Linked DNA regions of Sus scrofa. The protein of the gene in region 2 purifies or fractionates together with the protein of the main gene of each other region. This does not show direct contact. Links are inferred from orthologs where the notes say so. Each region holds a gene or a part of one and is shown on either strand. Other genes may lie near its edges. The genes, in order: ARMCX3 and RANBP6.

Region 1 (7,262 bases), on a different chromosome or scaffold from region 2:
AGAATGATCAGTCCTGAATTCTAGGGAATTAAGCGTACTCACTTTTCTTAATTAAATGCTACGTGCCAAAACATTCTAAGTATTCCGCATGTATTTCTTCATCTGTCCTCACAATGAGTGCCATCTTCAGTACTCACCTATTATTTCAAAGAGAAAACTTAAACCCATCTCCTGTTTAATTGTTTTTTCGGCTCAGTACATGCTCCAACCAATCACTGCTTCATTCCCAATGCTTTTCTTTTTTAAAAATTTTTGAAAAATAATTATTGGTTTTACATAAATAAGAATATGTAGATGAATAAAAAGTAAAAAGGTAAAAATCACTCTATCCTTTCACCCAAAGATAACCACTGTTACTCTGGATATCTGTAATTCCAGAGTTTTTAGTATCTACTTAAACATGTTTTATATTCTCAAAAAAAAATGGAATCATACTATAAATACTGCTATCTAACCTACCTTTCTCACTTAACAATTCATAATGAATATCTTTTCCTGGCAATATGAATTCTAATCAACATGTTTATCTTAGACCGTGTGAACATTCCTTAATTTATTAACCAATCCAGTGTGCTAGACATTTAGGTTGTTTCCAATTTTTACTCTTTCACACAGTTCTGAGAGTTACAGCCTTGTAATACAATCTTTGGCCAATGTTTCAATTATTTCCTTAGGACAAAGGGTTTACATATTTTAAGGCTTATGATATATATTGCCAAATGGCCCTTCACAAACCCTGTGCCACTGTAAGGTCCATTTTGAAAGGGTCCATTTTGCCACACCCTCATGGACATTGCACAATAGATGAAAGAGGGACTTTTATATGAATTACAATTATCCTTCCTAGTCAGAATTATTTAGTGGCTCTCAGTGTTCAGTGGGATAATATTGAAAGAGTTCACAAACTGGCTGCAGCTGGCTTCCCAAATCTGTTTACTTCCACACTAAGCAGACTAGTCTCCTCACTGTCATAGGAAGAGTTCCTACCTCCATACCTTTCTCACACCAGTCCCCCCCTCACTCCCATCACATGGAATGCCCTAACTACCCACCCCACTGAGAATTCATTTTCAATGACCACTTTTTCCAAAAATCTGTAACTGACTACTGTATCCCACAGAAGTCTTTGCTTCCTCTGTGCTCTGAGCTCACATATTTGACAATGAGTATCTATGTTCGAGTTATTCTGTTATCTTTTTGTTTGCATGTTTCTTATCTCTCCAACTAGATTATAAACTGAAAGACAAGGATGGTTTCTTTCCTTCTTTCTTTCTTTTTTTTTTCTCAGCATTAATGCACAACTTTATTGATGATACACAAATGAAGTCAATGCAAATGACAGGAAGGAGCTTATTTATGATGAATTAGTTCACTGTCACTTATGCAGAAGAAAGAGTAAAAATATTTCAATCTAGGCAGCAAGATAAAAAGCAACAAACGTGTTTTCAGAACAAGTAGTGATATTCACTCATCCAGCTTAGACCTGAAGACCAACTCAGATAAATATCAGTGTTGAGGATACAATATGATATTCATTACTCAAAATTGGCAGCTGAAAGAATTCCTTTACCATATAAACAAGGTGGAGAAAAGGAACAGTTTACAACGTGTGTTGCTTCTAAACTACAAAATCAAGAAGTTATTCCTGGCTCTTTGGGAACATATGCTCAGCCAGTTTGGCCATGAATTTTCCAACTTTTACTTTCACCAAAAAATCCTGATGACTTTCTATCCCCAGAATCTTATCAGCACACACTTGAAATTCTTTTAAAAAGAAAAAAAGTGAACCTTCGCTGAACTGATTCTGAGTAGGTTCATCTTCTTCCCATTTAAAATTGTCAATTATGTTCTCAAATATGACTAGAAGCTTAAGAATCACCTCTTTGTTCTCCTTCTTATTAAAGAGGGAGCCCAGCGAAGATGGTACTTGGGCCCTAAGCAGTTCTCTAGTCATGGCTGGATTTTCAGCCAAATTCAAAAGGAGTTTCAAAACCTGAAATTTGGTTTCTTCATTTCCCGCTGAAAATAAACGAAAAAAGTCTGAAATGGAATTAGCAAGCATGTGCTGATACTCATTAGTAACAGTCATGTTCGTAAGCAATCTTAGTCCCGCCAGCTGCACAGATGAGTTCAAGCGAGAAGTGATTGTGTCATCACACACTTGATTCATGTATATCTTAAGCCGGCGCTGATTTTCAGCATTCACACTCAAGTTATTTAGGACAATTAAAGCCTTTTCCTTAACTATGGGATCCCGAGTATTGAGAATCTTTGCCACAATTGGGAGACCACCCAGATCACGAATAATATCTCTGTTAAACGCATAAGCAGCGTTGTTACCCAGAGCAATTAAAGCTGCTTCAAGAATATAAGGCTTTTCAGACATCTCAACCAAGCAAAGAACTTTTTGTAGCTCCTGAGGGGACAAAACGGTATCATCTGAATTGGGGGAAGCCCTTTTCTGGACGGCCCTCCGTGCCCGGGTAGCCCTGGCCCTTGCTCTGGCCCTAGCTCTGGTCCCAGCCTCAGTCCCAATTCGGGCCCAAGGTGGATACCATACTATACCTTTGTTCTCACTGTTGTCATCATCATCGTCTGACCAGTCATTGTACCTGGCCCCAGGACAGTCCCCAACATCATCCACGTCCCCGGACCCGCCCTCAGCCATTTTCTCCTTGTTCTGTTTTCTTCCCCTGGTCAGTCTGTAAATGCAGTAACAGGCGCCAGCCCCAATCACCAGTCCCGCAGTCACCCAGCCTACTTTCCTGGCGTAGCCCATGCAATCGTCCCTGACAGTATCAGGGACCAAGGAACAGAGTAGTCACTCAGGCTGGGGGAGGATGGCTATAGGCCTGGCTGGGTGCAGGCCTGCAGAGGGTGATCGTCTTGTCTTCAGCCCCACTTCAAGGCCACAGTAGCTGACACTACAAGTGGACCTAGGGGTGGAGGAAGGAAATGGGGTTTGAGTTTCTCTTCTCTCTGTGTTATCCCATGCAGGGAGTTGCACAGAGGGACAAGTAAATGAGTTCTTGGTAGGAAATGTAGATTGTTAACAAACTGTGCCCTCTCACTTCACCCTCCTCCTACCCTCCCCAGTCCACACCCTCCCCAAGCCTAGATAAAGGCAACAGAGCCCACAGTCTCTGCTGGGGCCTCAGCCACCCCAAAATCGGTGTTCACAGGGAGTAGCACCCTTGCACTAACCTCCTCCAGACAAGCAGTTTGCCCCTTCTTCCCTCCCCTGGAGGTGTGCCACGCCCAACAACCCTTGTGATCTGCAGAGAGACCAGAGCCAGTGAGAACTAAAGGCTTAATGGATTGACTGTTCATTCGTTGCTTTCCTGATTCACCATCTAGGTTGTCATATTTTTTTTTTAGAAAACTTCTCTATGCCATCCAAAACATGCACATGCCTGCCCCTTCCCTAGCCTGAAATGGGAGGGATGTTAGGGAAATAAAGTAGGATTGGGTGAGCCTGTCCAACCACGGGCGATTTCCAACCCCTCCCCCATTCTAAGCAGCCCCCACGCCCACACCGACCTCTACTGATCCGAGGAAACTTCCTCCCTCGCTTCAACTGGTGCCACCTGCTACAGCAGACCTGCAGGATGACAGATCGAAAACATGGGGACTAAGTGCTGTTGAGAGAAGAGGATTATGAACAAACTATCTGATAGGTTTCCCTTCTGTCATTCTCCCCCACCCCCGCGACACACGGGCGCGCACACGCTCGCGCACACACACACACACACAACGCACGCCATTTCGACACAGTCCCCAGAGTGTAAGAAACACACTCAGACTCAGACCTAACCTAGATCATTGCCACCTCTGGTTTCTACCCACCCCCATCACCAGCCCTGTTAGGGTCCCCAGATGGTCTTACCCTCAAATCGACCTTCACCGATCGGGGTTAATTTCCTTCCTCTTCTGTAGCCTGCCGTAGTGCCGCAACCTACAGAAAGACTGGCAACCCGGGAGAGGCTCGGACCCACAAGACACAGAGCCATGGTCAGGAAAACACAGTCACAGAAAGACGGGAAACAGACGCTACCGAGTGCTTGGTGGACGGACCAGTCCCCAGAACAGAAAACTCTTTCCTAATTCGGAGGCCTGGTTGTCAAAGGTTTCCCACCCCCATTACCCTCTTGGGGGCTTCTGCTGACACATCACGTTGCACTCCCCCCTCGCTAAGTGCAGTTTTTCCCGGCCAGCACTGTCCTGAAGGACTGGGGGGCCAACACCCAGGCCACAGCTCCCTTTGCAGATTACGGCCTCGGTTCCCACCAGGTTCCCACCTCCGGATCTCTGGGCTCCTCCCCAAACATCCCCCTACTCACCATTTCGCAGCATCGAAATGGGCTGCGGGCGGGACAGATGTCTTGCAAAGCCGGCGGCGAGTGGGAGAGACAACAGAGGCGCCCCAAGACCCGCGACGGTCTGCGCCCTGCACCCTCGGCCACCCCCACCTTCTGGAATCTCCCTGGCACTGACCTGCAGGGATCCGGGACAATTTCCTTCTCCTCCTCCTTCCCTCTGCCACCGGCCCGCTCACCCTCAGGGCAGTGGGGAGCTGGTACTCAGACGGGGAACAACGACCAGAACAAGAAGGACTTCTGCACACGTCAGCTCTTGGTCACGTGAGAGCTACGTCATCCACCAACTCGGGTCCCCAATTTCCCCTCCCACCAGCAGTGCGGCAGAAGAGGGCCCGCCCCCCTCCATTCCCTCCCCCACACCAGGCCTTGTTACTCTTTCTTCGTTGCCAATCCCATCTCCTTATAGTTGTGTTTGCCTTCCCCCATTACCAGAAAGGGACAGCATCTCCCCCTGGGGTTACTGGCCACTTGTACTTTTTGAAAAACTGCCTCTTCCTTCCCTAGGCTCCTGGGACAGCAACCTCTCCTTCCACCTCCCCGCCTCCCAGCTATAAATGTCTACGGTTTCCTCTGAAATCCAGTCCCAGATCTGAAATGAAAAAGCCATCTGAAAAGGAGCCCTGGAGTGAGTGAGTGTGTGTGTGTGTTTTCCTTTCTTAATGCGTTTTTGTTCTTTCCCTTCTGCCCTTCTCCCACCCGCAGCCTGCATTCTTTTTATGAAAAAAAAAAATTGCTGTAAAGCTATTTTCATTTGCAGAAAAAAAAAGAGTGGGAGTTGGAGAGTGGTGTTGGGTGATGGCCTCCAAAATGTACCACACTTTCTCACTTGTGGGGAGTGTTACAGAAAGCCATCTTAATGTCTTTGGGGGCCTAGCACATAACATAATCCTGAATGAGCTAATCAGTATGTCTGAGAATACATACAGCAGACTAGGCCAGTCTTCAAAACGGGAGAGCTACAGACTTTTACTTGCATCAGTTAGCAAGGAAGAGGCATGGAGCTCTCAGAAGCAAGTGACACAGAAAATGTTGAGTGGAAATCGCACCAACATAGTGGATGTGTATCATACAGGCATGCACACCGACAGAGTGAGTGGCATACAAAGAACATTATAAAATACACTCAGGCATAAATAGAGAATATCATTTTAAAATGGAATAGATGTTAGTGGAACAGTGAGACTAAGACAAAATTGGCCAACCTCGGTATCTAGGAATTAGTGTGAAACCTTTTCAACGACCAGTTTAATGAATGATTCACCTGTCAGCAATGATCGAATTTTTTTATGAGTGGGCAAAATAATAAAATAATGTCAGAACATGAGGTCTACAGTGAAATATGCCCTAATAGTTCAGATATAAGGTTATTATCTGAGTATGAATTTTAAGATCCACAGACAACAGGGGCATAAATCAAGAAATTAGGAAGTTTGGGAACAGGCAAAACTCTAAGAAAGTTCAAGTTGATGTAACTTTTGGAAGACAGCACTTGACTATGACTGAATTTTATTTTTTCTTCGAGTTTTATTGAGAAATAATTGAGATACAGCACTGTATAAGTTTAAGGTGAACAGGGTATGACTGAAATTTAGTAAGCAGAAACCAGATCAACTATGATGCTGTGTTTAGAGAAAGATCATGTGCAGCGAGGGGGCTTATTCAAGCATAGGGATATATGAAAAGCAGAGTCAGAGGAAAGTGTTGATAGTTCCCACCCAAGCACTGTCTGGAGGAGAGCGAGTCTTGGCCAAGATGAATGGAAAAATTAGCTTTCTTTGGCAGAGCCATCCCCATGATGTGTAAGTGTACTTCAAGTTTCTTAGCTAAAAGCCACTTCTTAAAGTGCACCAATGCCCTTGCTCTGATTGCAGGCTCACCAAGCCACCTTCTGAGGTTGTGGTTTCCCAAGTAGTAGCTTGCCAACAGGGAGTGAATGGGCTGATAAAACTGACAGAAACCTCTAGTACCCTTGACGGTTGTATTTTTCAGGATAAATTCTTCAGTTGTCACTCCCTTGTGAGACTTAGTTTCCCTTGTGGCCTTCTTACAGGGAGAAAATGCAGAAATCCATGCACTGGGGCATTCAGATATAGATTTAGATATGTCTCTGTGAATGGGAGTCTTTCCTTGACAGAGGCATCCACTCTCAGCGTACAGACAAAATCAGGTATTGATCATGACGGGATGAGGACAAGGCTCTGAACTCTAGATGCAACCTTGTGGAATCCTATCAGGGAAGCCAAGTAGCTTTGGCTTACAAGACAGCCTAGTGCATCACCATTTCAGAACTGTACCTCTCTAGTGTTCAGTTAATGTAAAAATTACAACTGGAGTTCCCATTGTGGCGCAGTAGAAACGAATCCGACTAGGAATCATGAGGTTGTGGGTTCAATCCCTGGCCTTGCTCAGTGGGTTAAGGATCCAGCATTGCCGTGAGCTGTGGTGTGGGTTGAAGAAGCATCTTGGATCCTGCGTTGCTGTGGCTGTGGCGTAGGCCGGCAGCTGCAGCTCTGATTAGACCCCTAGCCTGGGAACCTCCATATGCTGCAGGTGTGAGCCTAAAAAACCAAAAAAAAAAGAAAGAAAGAAAAGAAAATTACGACTAAAGCATGCCGTGGCAGATAGGCCCCCCAGCACCTCAGTCCCAGATGAACAAAGCATCATATCCAAAGTAGTTGAAGGGCTCCTGCAAATCAACAATAATATCTGAAACAGTATACATTTCTCTCTGGGAAGAGAAAGGAATCGCCATTTACATTTTACATACCCTGTCATTTTCCCCAGCAAAAGGGTGGGCATTGTGACCCAAACAGACCAACTCCATACTCTCTTACTGAAATTTAAACCTCAAACGGAGATAGAAAACTGAAAATCAGTGGAATT
Region 2 (7,119 bases):
AATTACTGCCATGCAGTTGTTAAAGATGAAAACAGTGTGACATTCCTGCTGTAGTGCAACAGGTTAAGGATCTGGCATTGTCTCTGCAGAGGCATAGTTTCAATCTCCTGCCCCCCTGCAGTGAACTAAGAATCCTGCCTTGCCGCAGCTGTTGCATAGGTTGCAGTTGTTCCCTGACCTGGAAACTTCCATATGCTGCAGATGTGGCCAAAAAAAAAGATAACGGTGTTTTACTACTATGCATCTTATACACTTGGAGTGAAGAGATAATATGCTGGGAGATAGGTAAAACCACAGGTTCAGCATGGCTGGTCTTCCTGGCATGAGCTAAGGGACTCCAAAGTAGATTGTAGACTTCATGAAGGTGAGCATTTTTGTCTGTTTTATTCACTATTGTATCCCCAATGTTCCAGCACAGTGCCTGGCACATAGTAGGTTAAATTTTTATTGAATTAATTAAATGTTTGAATAAATGAAAAGCTTAGAAAAAAACAACTTCATATTAAAAAAAGCTTGAAAATATTAGTAACTGGAACATCATGTTTACATTCAGATTTTAAGTTAAAAACATAAGCTGCTCCAAATTGTAGTCCCAGGTGTCAGAAATACCTTTCTCCTCTGCTATCCTTTTTTTTTTTTTTTTTTTTTGAGAAAATCTGGGTGAAAAAGTTGAGGTGTTATTCTAAATCAATAATTTTACATTGAAAACAAAGAAATTCTTTTTTTTCTTTTGGTCGGTCATTTAAATTTTCAATGTACAATGTACATAGAATGCAAAAAGTTCCTAATTATACTCAAATCCACAAATTCATATGCCCTTTAATCAGCTTAAAAATATCGTAAATTGGAGTTCCCATTGTGGATCAGCATTAACAAAACTGACTAGTATCCATGAGGATATGGGTTCAATCCATGGCCTCTCTCAGTGGATTAAGGATCCGATGTTGCCTTGAGCTGTGGTGTAGGTCACAGACTCAGCTCGGATCTGGCATTGCTGTAGCTGTGGCCTAGGCCAGCAGCTGCTGCTCTGATTTGACCCCTAGCCTGAGAACTTCCATATGCCACCGATGTGGCCCTAAAAAGACAAAAAACAAAAACAAAAACAAAACTTAAATTTATGGAAGGCTAGAGAGTACTTTATAAAAATTTCAGTGTTCAGTGATCTTTAGAACCACTAACTATAATTACTTTGGTTCAGGATTTATTGTAAAACTATAGTAATCTGTACAGTCTGTGGCACTGGAGTAAGGATAAACATATAGATTAATAAATGGAACAGAAGGTTCAGAAATAGGACTACATGTATATGGTCAATTGATATTGAACAAAGATGTAAAGGTTATTCAGTGGAGAAAAGTAGAACAACCAAAAATTCATATGCAAGAAGAAATGAGCTGCAACCCAGACAAGAAGAGGAAAAACACTAAGGTGATTCCTCGTTTCTCTCTTTTCCATCCTCCAATCTCTAGCGGCTCCTACTGGTGGAAACTATCATAGATCCAGCTATGAAAGAAATTTTATTTCCAGAGCCTAAACTTAGCATCAGAAAACAAATTAGAGAAAGTAAGAATGTGATACCAAAAGACAACATATAAATGACATTTTTTGTTTATCCCACTTTTAATAATACTAAGATTAATCATTAACTTCAGGTGGTTTCAGCCTAATCTATTATCATGTTCTCAATGTTTCATTCCATGGTTTTATCATCCATTGGTTATTGTCATCTACATTTGTTATTCCATTTGGAGTTACAGCAATTTTCTGATTTTAGCACCGTTGTGCACTTATTATATGGAATTCTATAAAGAAGAATGTGGATCACTATTTGGTTATCCTAGAGTTTGTAAGAGAAAGGCAGGAAAAATCTTGACTATTCTTCTTTATCAATTTTCAGTTGGTGACCTAACAACCTCCAAAGATGACCAATGAGTTGGTTGCTTTTGTTAGTATTAGAAACTCAGAACTTTTGCTTATATATCTGAAGAGTTTTTTAATCCATCACAGGCATTATTCTGATATTCAGATTTGTCTCATCTTAGGTCAGTGGGAAACTTCATAGTATTGTTTTATATATTTTTATTTATTCTGGGTTATTCTTGAAAAAATGTCAAGTATGTCCAATTTAATTTCCCCCCCTCATTTGACTTTAAATCTCTCAGATCTTGGAAGAAATTTGCAAGTTATTTTTCACTTTCCCACTTAGTAAGCCGCTAATAAACACTTGAATTGTCCACTATTGAGCCACCTTATGGAAACATTCCTAAGTGGTCTCTCAACAGTGCAAACATTTTTAAAAGCCAATTTTAATTACAGAATTTAATCAAGTTATTCAACTCTAACCAAATCTTCAAGTCCAGTCTTGAAATTTTCAGTATGATATGTGCTGCTTAGGGGAAAAAATAAATAAAAAGGAAATCACAATGCAAAAAGTAAATAGAATAGAATTATGCAATTTAGAAAGGAAGAACTTTAAGATTTTAAATCCATGTGTTTTTCTAAAATAAAGGAACATAACTTTTTTTCCTAAAATGGATTCAGTTTAGACTTTACTCTTGTAACAATGACCATCACTATAGAGTGAGAGAGCAACTACGGAATAAAATATGGATTTTGGTACTCACCTTCTTAGGAAAGCCTCTTTTCCCCCAGAAAGAGTTAATAGTCCTTTGGTCTACATTAATATTGTTGTTTATTTATATGTAGGTTAAGAAATAGGTAAATTTCAGCACCTCCAACCAGATGCCCAGGCCAAAACTCGGGGAGATTTCCTAGGCTTCTCCTTCTCCTCTGAGGTGCAACTGATATGACCTCTTAAGATCTCTCCAATCCTTGCCCTCTTTTCTTTCCATCCACTAGTGTAATTTACACTTTCAGCTTAACTGAACTCCTGTATGTCTCCAGTCTTTAACTTCAGTTTGCACATTACCATTAAAGTAATCTTTCTACAAATGGGTTATTTCACAGCCTTTTTTTTTTTTTTTCTTTTTCTTTTTAGATCTGTATCAGTGGCATATGGAGGTTCCCAGGCTAGGGGTCAAATCAGAGCTGTAGCTGCCAGCCTACGCCACAGCCACAGCAAGTCCAGATCCTTAACCCACTGAGCGAGGCCAGGAATCAAACCTGCAACCTCATAGATCCTAGTCAGATTCTTTTCCACTGTGCCACAACGGGAATTCCTATTTCACAGCTCTTGATTAAAATCCTTAAACAGCTCCTCTTTACCTTAAGGGAAAAAAAGCCAAATTTCTTAACCTGGACTATAAGACTTTTCATGATCTGGCCTCTATATAACTTTCTGCCTTCTTCTTTCCTGGCTCCTGTCATTCCCAGACCCCCTCACATTCCATTCTCAATGATCCAGCAATGAACAACTGGCAGAATGGACTGCACTAGGCAGTAAGGCCTTTCTGCACTTGAACATAGATCTTATTTTACTTAGAAACTTCTTCTCTTTCTTCAAATAGTTAATACAGATTCATCCTTCCAAAGTCAGCCCTGATATTACCACCTCTGGGAAGCCTTGCCTGATCTCCCTCAGCTGCCTCCATAGTCCTGTGTGGTTCCATGGTAGATGGCCTATCACCACAGTGCTCACTACACTATATGACATTTACTATCTTTCATGAGCATCTATATATCTATATATCTATATCTACCTATCTATCTATCTATCTATCTATCTATCTATCTATCTATCTATCTATCTATAGATAGTCTTTTTAGGGCCGCACCTGAGGCATATGGAAGTTCCCAGGCCAGGGGTTGAATTGGAGCTTCAGCTGCTGGCCTACACCACATCCACAGCAACACGGGATCTGAGCAACCTACACCACAGCTCATGGCAACACTGGATCCTTAACCCACTGAGCAAGGCCAGGGATCAAACCCTTGTCCTCTTGGATACTAGTCAGGTTTGTTGCAACTGAGCCATGACAGGAACTCAATCCTCATATATTTAATCTTATCCCTAGCACACAGCACCATGTTTTGAGTATTCCCTCAGCGAATGCTGAGAGAATAAACAAATAATTGCATAATGTTAACCCAGCATTTTCAAAACACATTTTTTCAGAGTAATTTTACCTATTATACTACCACCAAAAATAGAGTTTCCTGTTGTTCCACATCCTTTCAAATGCTTAATATTCTTAGATACAAATTTAAAATATTGTGGAGGGTGGGTCTTTAGTGATATCTCATCCTAGTTTTCAATGTCATTAATATGCTAATAGATATAGTATTAAGGAAAGTCCCCCCCCCACCTCTACTTATTAATATTTCCTGAAACAGCAAATGCAAAGGCTCTGCAGTTAGACTTTTTCAAGGAATGGTAAAAAAGCCAGTGACTGTGGAGCAAGAGGCAGAACCATAGTCAAGATCTTGGAATGATCCCATCATTCGTTCTCAAGTTTTGCTATTCATGTGAAAACCCAGTGTGCTTGTTAAAATTGGACATTCTTGGACTTCCCGTGTGGCTCACAACATTACTTGGCATTGCTTCTACAGTGGCGGTGGCTGGACCCCTAGCTCGGGAACGTCTATATGCCGCAGGCCACTTGTTTAAAAAAAAATTTTTTTTTTAAATAATAAAAAATAAAAAAATTAAATTCAACATTCTTGGGTTGCATGCCCCAGAAATTCTGATTCAGTAGTTCAGAACTCGGGCCCTAATATCTGTATTTAAAATAAGCTTGTCAAGTAATTCTGACCCAGTTTGCTTATGGTCTACAGAATAAGAAACACTGTTTAGAGAATTAGGTTTTTTCCTAAATGAGCACAGTATTACATATTACAATGTCATTTAAGAGATTGCTTTTCCTATAATCCGGTTAAAACGTTAAAACTGTGATTTTCTCTCTTCATGGGTACGTGCAGCAGCATGTTACAAAATTAAAATTAAGCCCATTTGGAGATGTTTAAGATAACCTTACAGTAAGCGAAGGCCTTTGATCATGTTGCAAAACCAAGAGTAATTATGTGGAAGTGGTATGGTGAAAGAGCATTGGTGCTGCTTTCAGAAGTGGTGGATTTGAGATTCCGGCTGTGTCATTTTAGGCAAATCCCTTAACTTGCATGAATTTCTATTCTCATCTAAAGTTAGTATAATACCTATCCTACTAACCTTGAAAACCTGTATAACCATCAAAATGAAGAGTGGCAGGGCACTAATACAAAAGTAAGATCTAATCATTGTTACAGGAATGATCATTGTTTTTGATTGACACACATGAGTTAAAGAAATAACATTTAGACTCGGGGGCATTTATTTCGTAGAATAATCTCAGCAGCTTCCTACTAAAAAACTGTGAAAGCATTTTACCATTTGCAAAGAAAGTCTCAAGTGACATGACCATGGGTACAAAATCAATTTAGAGACAAGACCAGGATTCTAGTGTTCTGATTACTATCCCAGGTCACTCCCCACCATACTTTCCTCATTTGTCTTTCTCATTTTGTATTATAATCCATAGGCCAAATGATTCTGGCACACACCTGAGACTGAGAACCACTGCTTTACTGCATTTGGTGTAGTGGTGGGGTGGTAATCATTGCCTTTATCTTTTATTACACTTATTTGATAAACAGCTTTATTGAGGTATTACTTACATACCATACAAATCACCAATCTAAACTGTACAATTCAATGGTTTTTAATACACAGAGTTGTGCAGTTATCACCACAATCAATTCCTCATTTTCACACCCATCCACCCCCGCCACCGCCCCAGTACTCATTCTCTATTCTTCTTTTCCCTCAACCACTGCCAAACACTAATTTACATTCTGTATGGATTTGCCTGGTTAAGACCGTTCCTATAATTGGAATTACACAACACGTAACATTTTATGATCTTCTTTCACTTAGCAATTTTCAAGGAGTACCTAATTGTTTTAAAATTAGCAGTGTAACAATAGATAGTTTAGAAATAAACCAGAAGGGAAAAAAATCACCCATAATTCCATCCTAATACAATCAACAGCATACTTTTTTTTTTTCTCTTCTGCGGCTGCACTTTCATCTCACTGGAAAAAAGATGGAGGGTGACCCTCCCCGCCACCGGGCTCTCCACGCCCCCCCCGCCCATCTCCACCCGGCGCCTTGATGACGTCACTATTTCGAGCCTCAGACCACCCCCCCCCACCGCCCTCCCTCCCTGTCGCGGTGGCTTTGACAGAACGCGATGGCGGCGTCCGGGTCTGCGGGAGTGCCGGCGGCTGTGTCGGGAAAGCAAGAGTTTTACCAGCTTCTGAAGAACCTGATCAATCCAAGCTGTATGGTGCGGAGGCAGGCAGAGGAAATCTATGAAAATATCCCAGGTCTGTGTAAGACTACATTCCTCTTAGATGCCGTCAGAAATAGAAGAGCAGGTTTTGAGGTGAGACAAATGGCTGCCGCACTGCTACGACGGCTTTTGTCATCTGGGTTTGAGGAAGTCTATCCAAATCTGCCTTCTGATGTTCAGAGGGACGTCAAGATTGAACTAATACTGGCCGTTAAGTTAGAAACACATGCTAGCATGAGGAAAAAACTTTGTGATATTTTTGCAGTGCTGGCGAGGAATTTGATAGATGAGGATGGCACTAACCACTGGCCGGAAGGTCTGAAGTTCCTTATTGATTCAATCCACTCTAAAAATGTTGTTCTATGGGAAGTTGCACTTCACGTTTTTTGGCACTTTCCTGGAATTTTTGGGAACCAAGAACGGCATGATTTGGATATCATCAAACGGTTGTTGGACCAGTGTATTCAAGATCAAGAACATCCAGCAATCAGGACATTATCTGCTAGAGCTGCAGCTGCATTTGTACTTGCTAATGAGAATAATATTGCTCTTTTCAAAGACTTTGCAGACTTGCTTCCTGGAATCTTACAGGCTGTGAATGATTCATGCTACCAGGATGATGATTCAGTGCTAGAGTCCCTTGTTGAGATTGCAGATACTGTACCTAAATATTTGGGTCCTTATTTAGAAGATACTCTTCAATTGAGTCTAAAGTTATGTGGAGACTCCAGACTTAGTAATCTGCAACGCCAGCTGGCTCTTGAAGTGATAGTGACTTTATCTGAAACTGCAACCCCAATGTTGAAAAAACATACAAATATTATTGCACAGG

The links.
Region 1: the proteins of RANBP6 (region 2) and ARMCX3 purify together in Homo sapiens (co-immunoprecipitation; 3 studies listed by BioGRID and IntAct, counting the BioPlex papers as one, with this or other methods). This does not show direct contact. The link is inferred for Sus scrofa from reciprocal best matches to the Homo sapiens genes RANBP6 and ARMCX3.

What each region holds. Positions count from the first base shown.
Region 1 is NC_010461.5:83,185,337-83,192,598, reverse strand, and holds the start of ARMCX3 (armadillo repeat-containing X-linked protein 3), read right to left. Parts: upstream 4,661-7,262; 5' UTR 4,495-4,660; exon of another isoform or gene 4,341-4,494; intron 3,967-4,340; 5' UTR 3,887-3,966; intron 3,602-3,886; 5' UTR 3,541-3,601; intron 3,276-3,540; exon of another isoform or gene 3,205-3,275; intron 2,937-3,204; 5' UTR 2,780-2,936; coding exon 1,640-2,779; 3' UTR 1-1,639. UniProt on the Homo sapiens protein: Regulates mitochondrial aggregation and transport in axons in living neurons. May link mitochondria to the TRAK2-kinesin motor complex via its interaction with Miro and TRAK2.
Region 2 is NC_010443.5:216,101,417-216,108,535, forward strand, and holds the start of RANBP6 (ran-binding protein 6), read left to right. Parts: upstream 1-3,015; 5' UTR 3,016-6,185; coding exon 6,186-7,119. UniProt on the Homo sapiens protein: May function in nuclear protein import as nuclear transport receptor.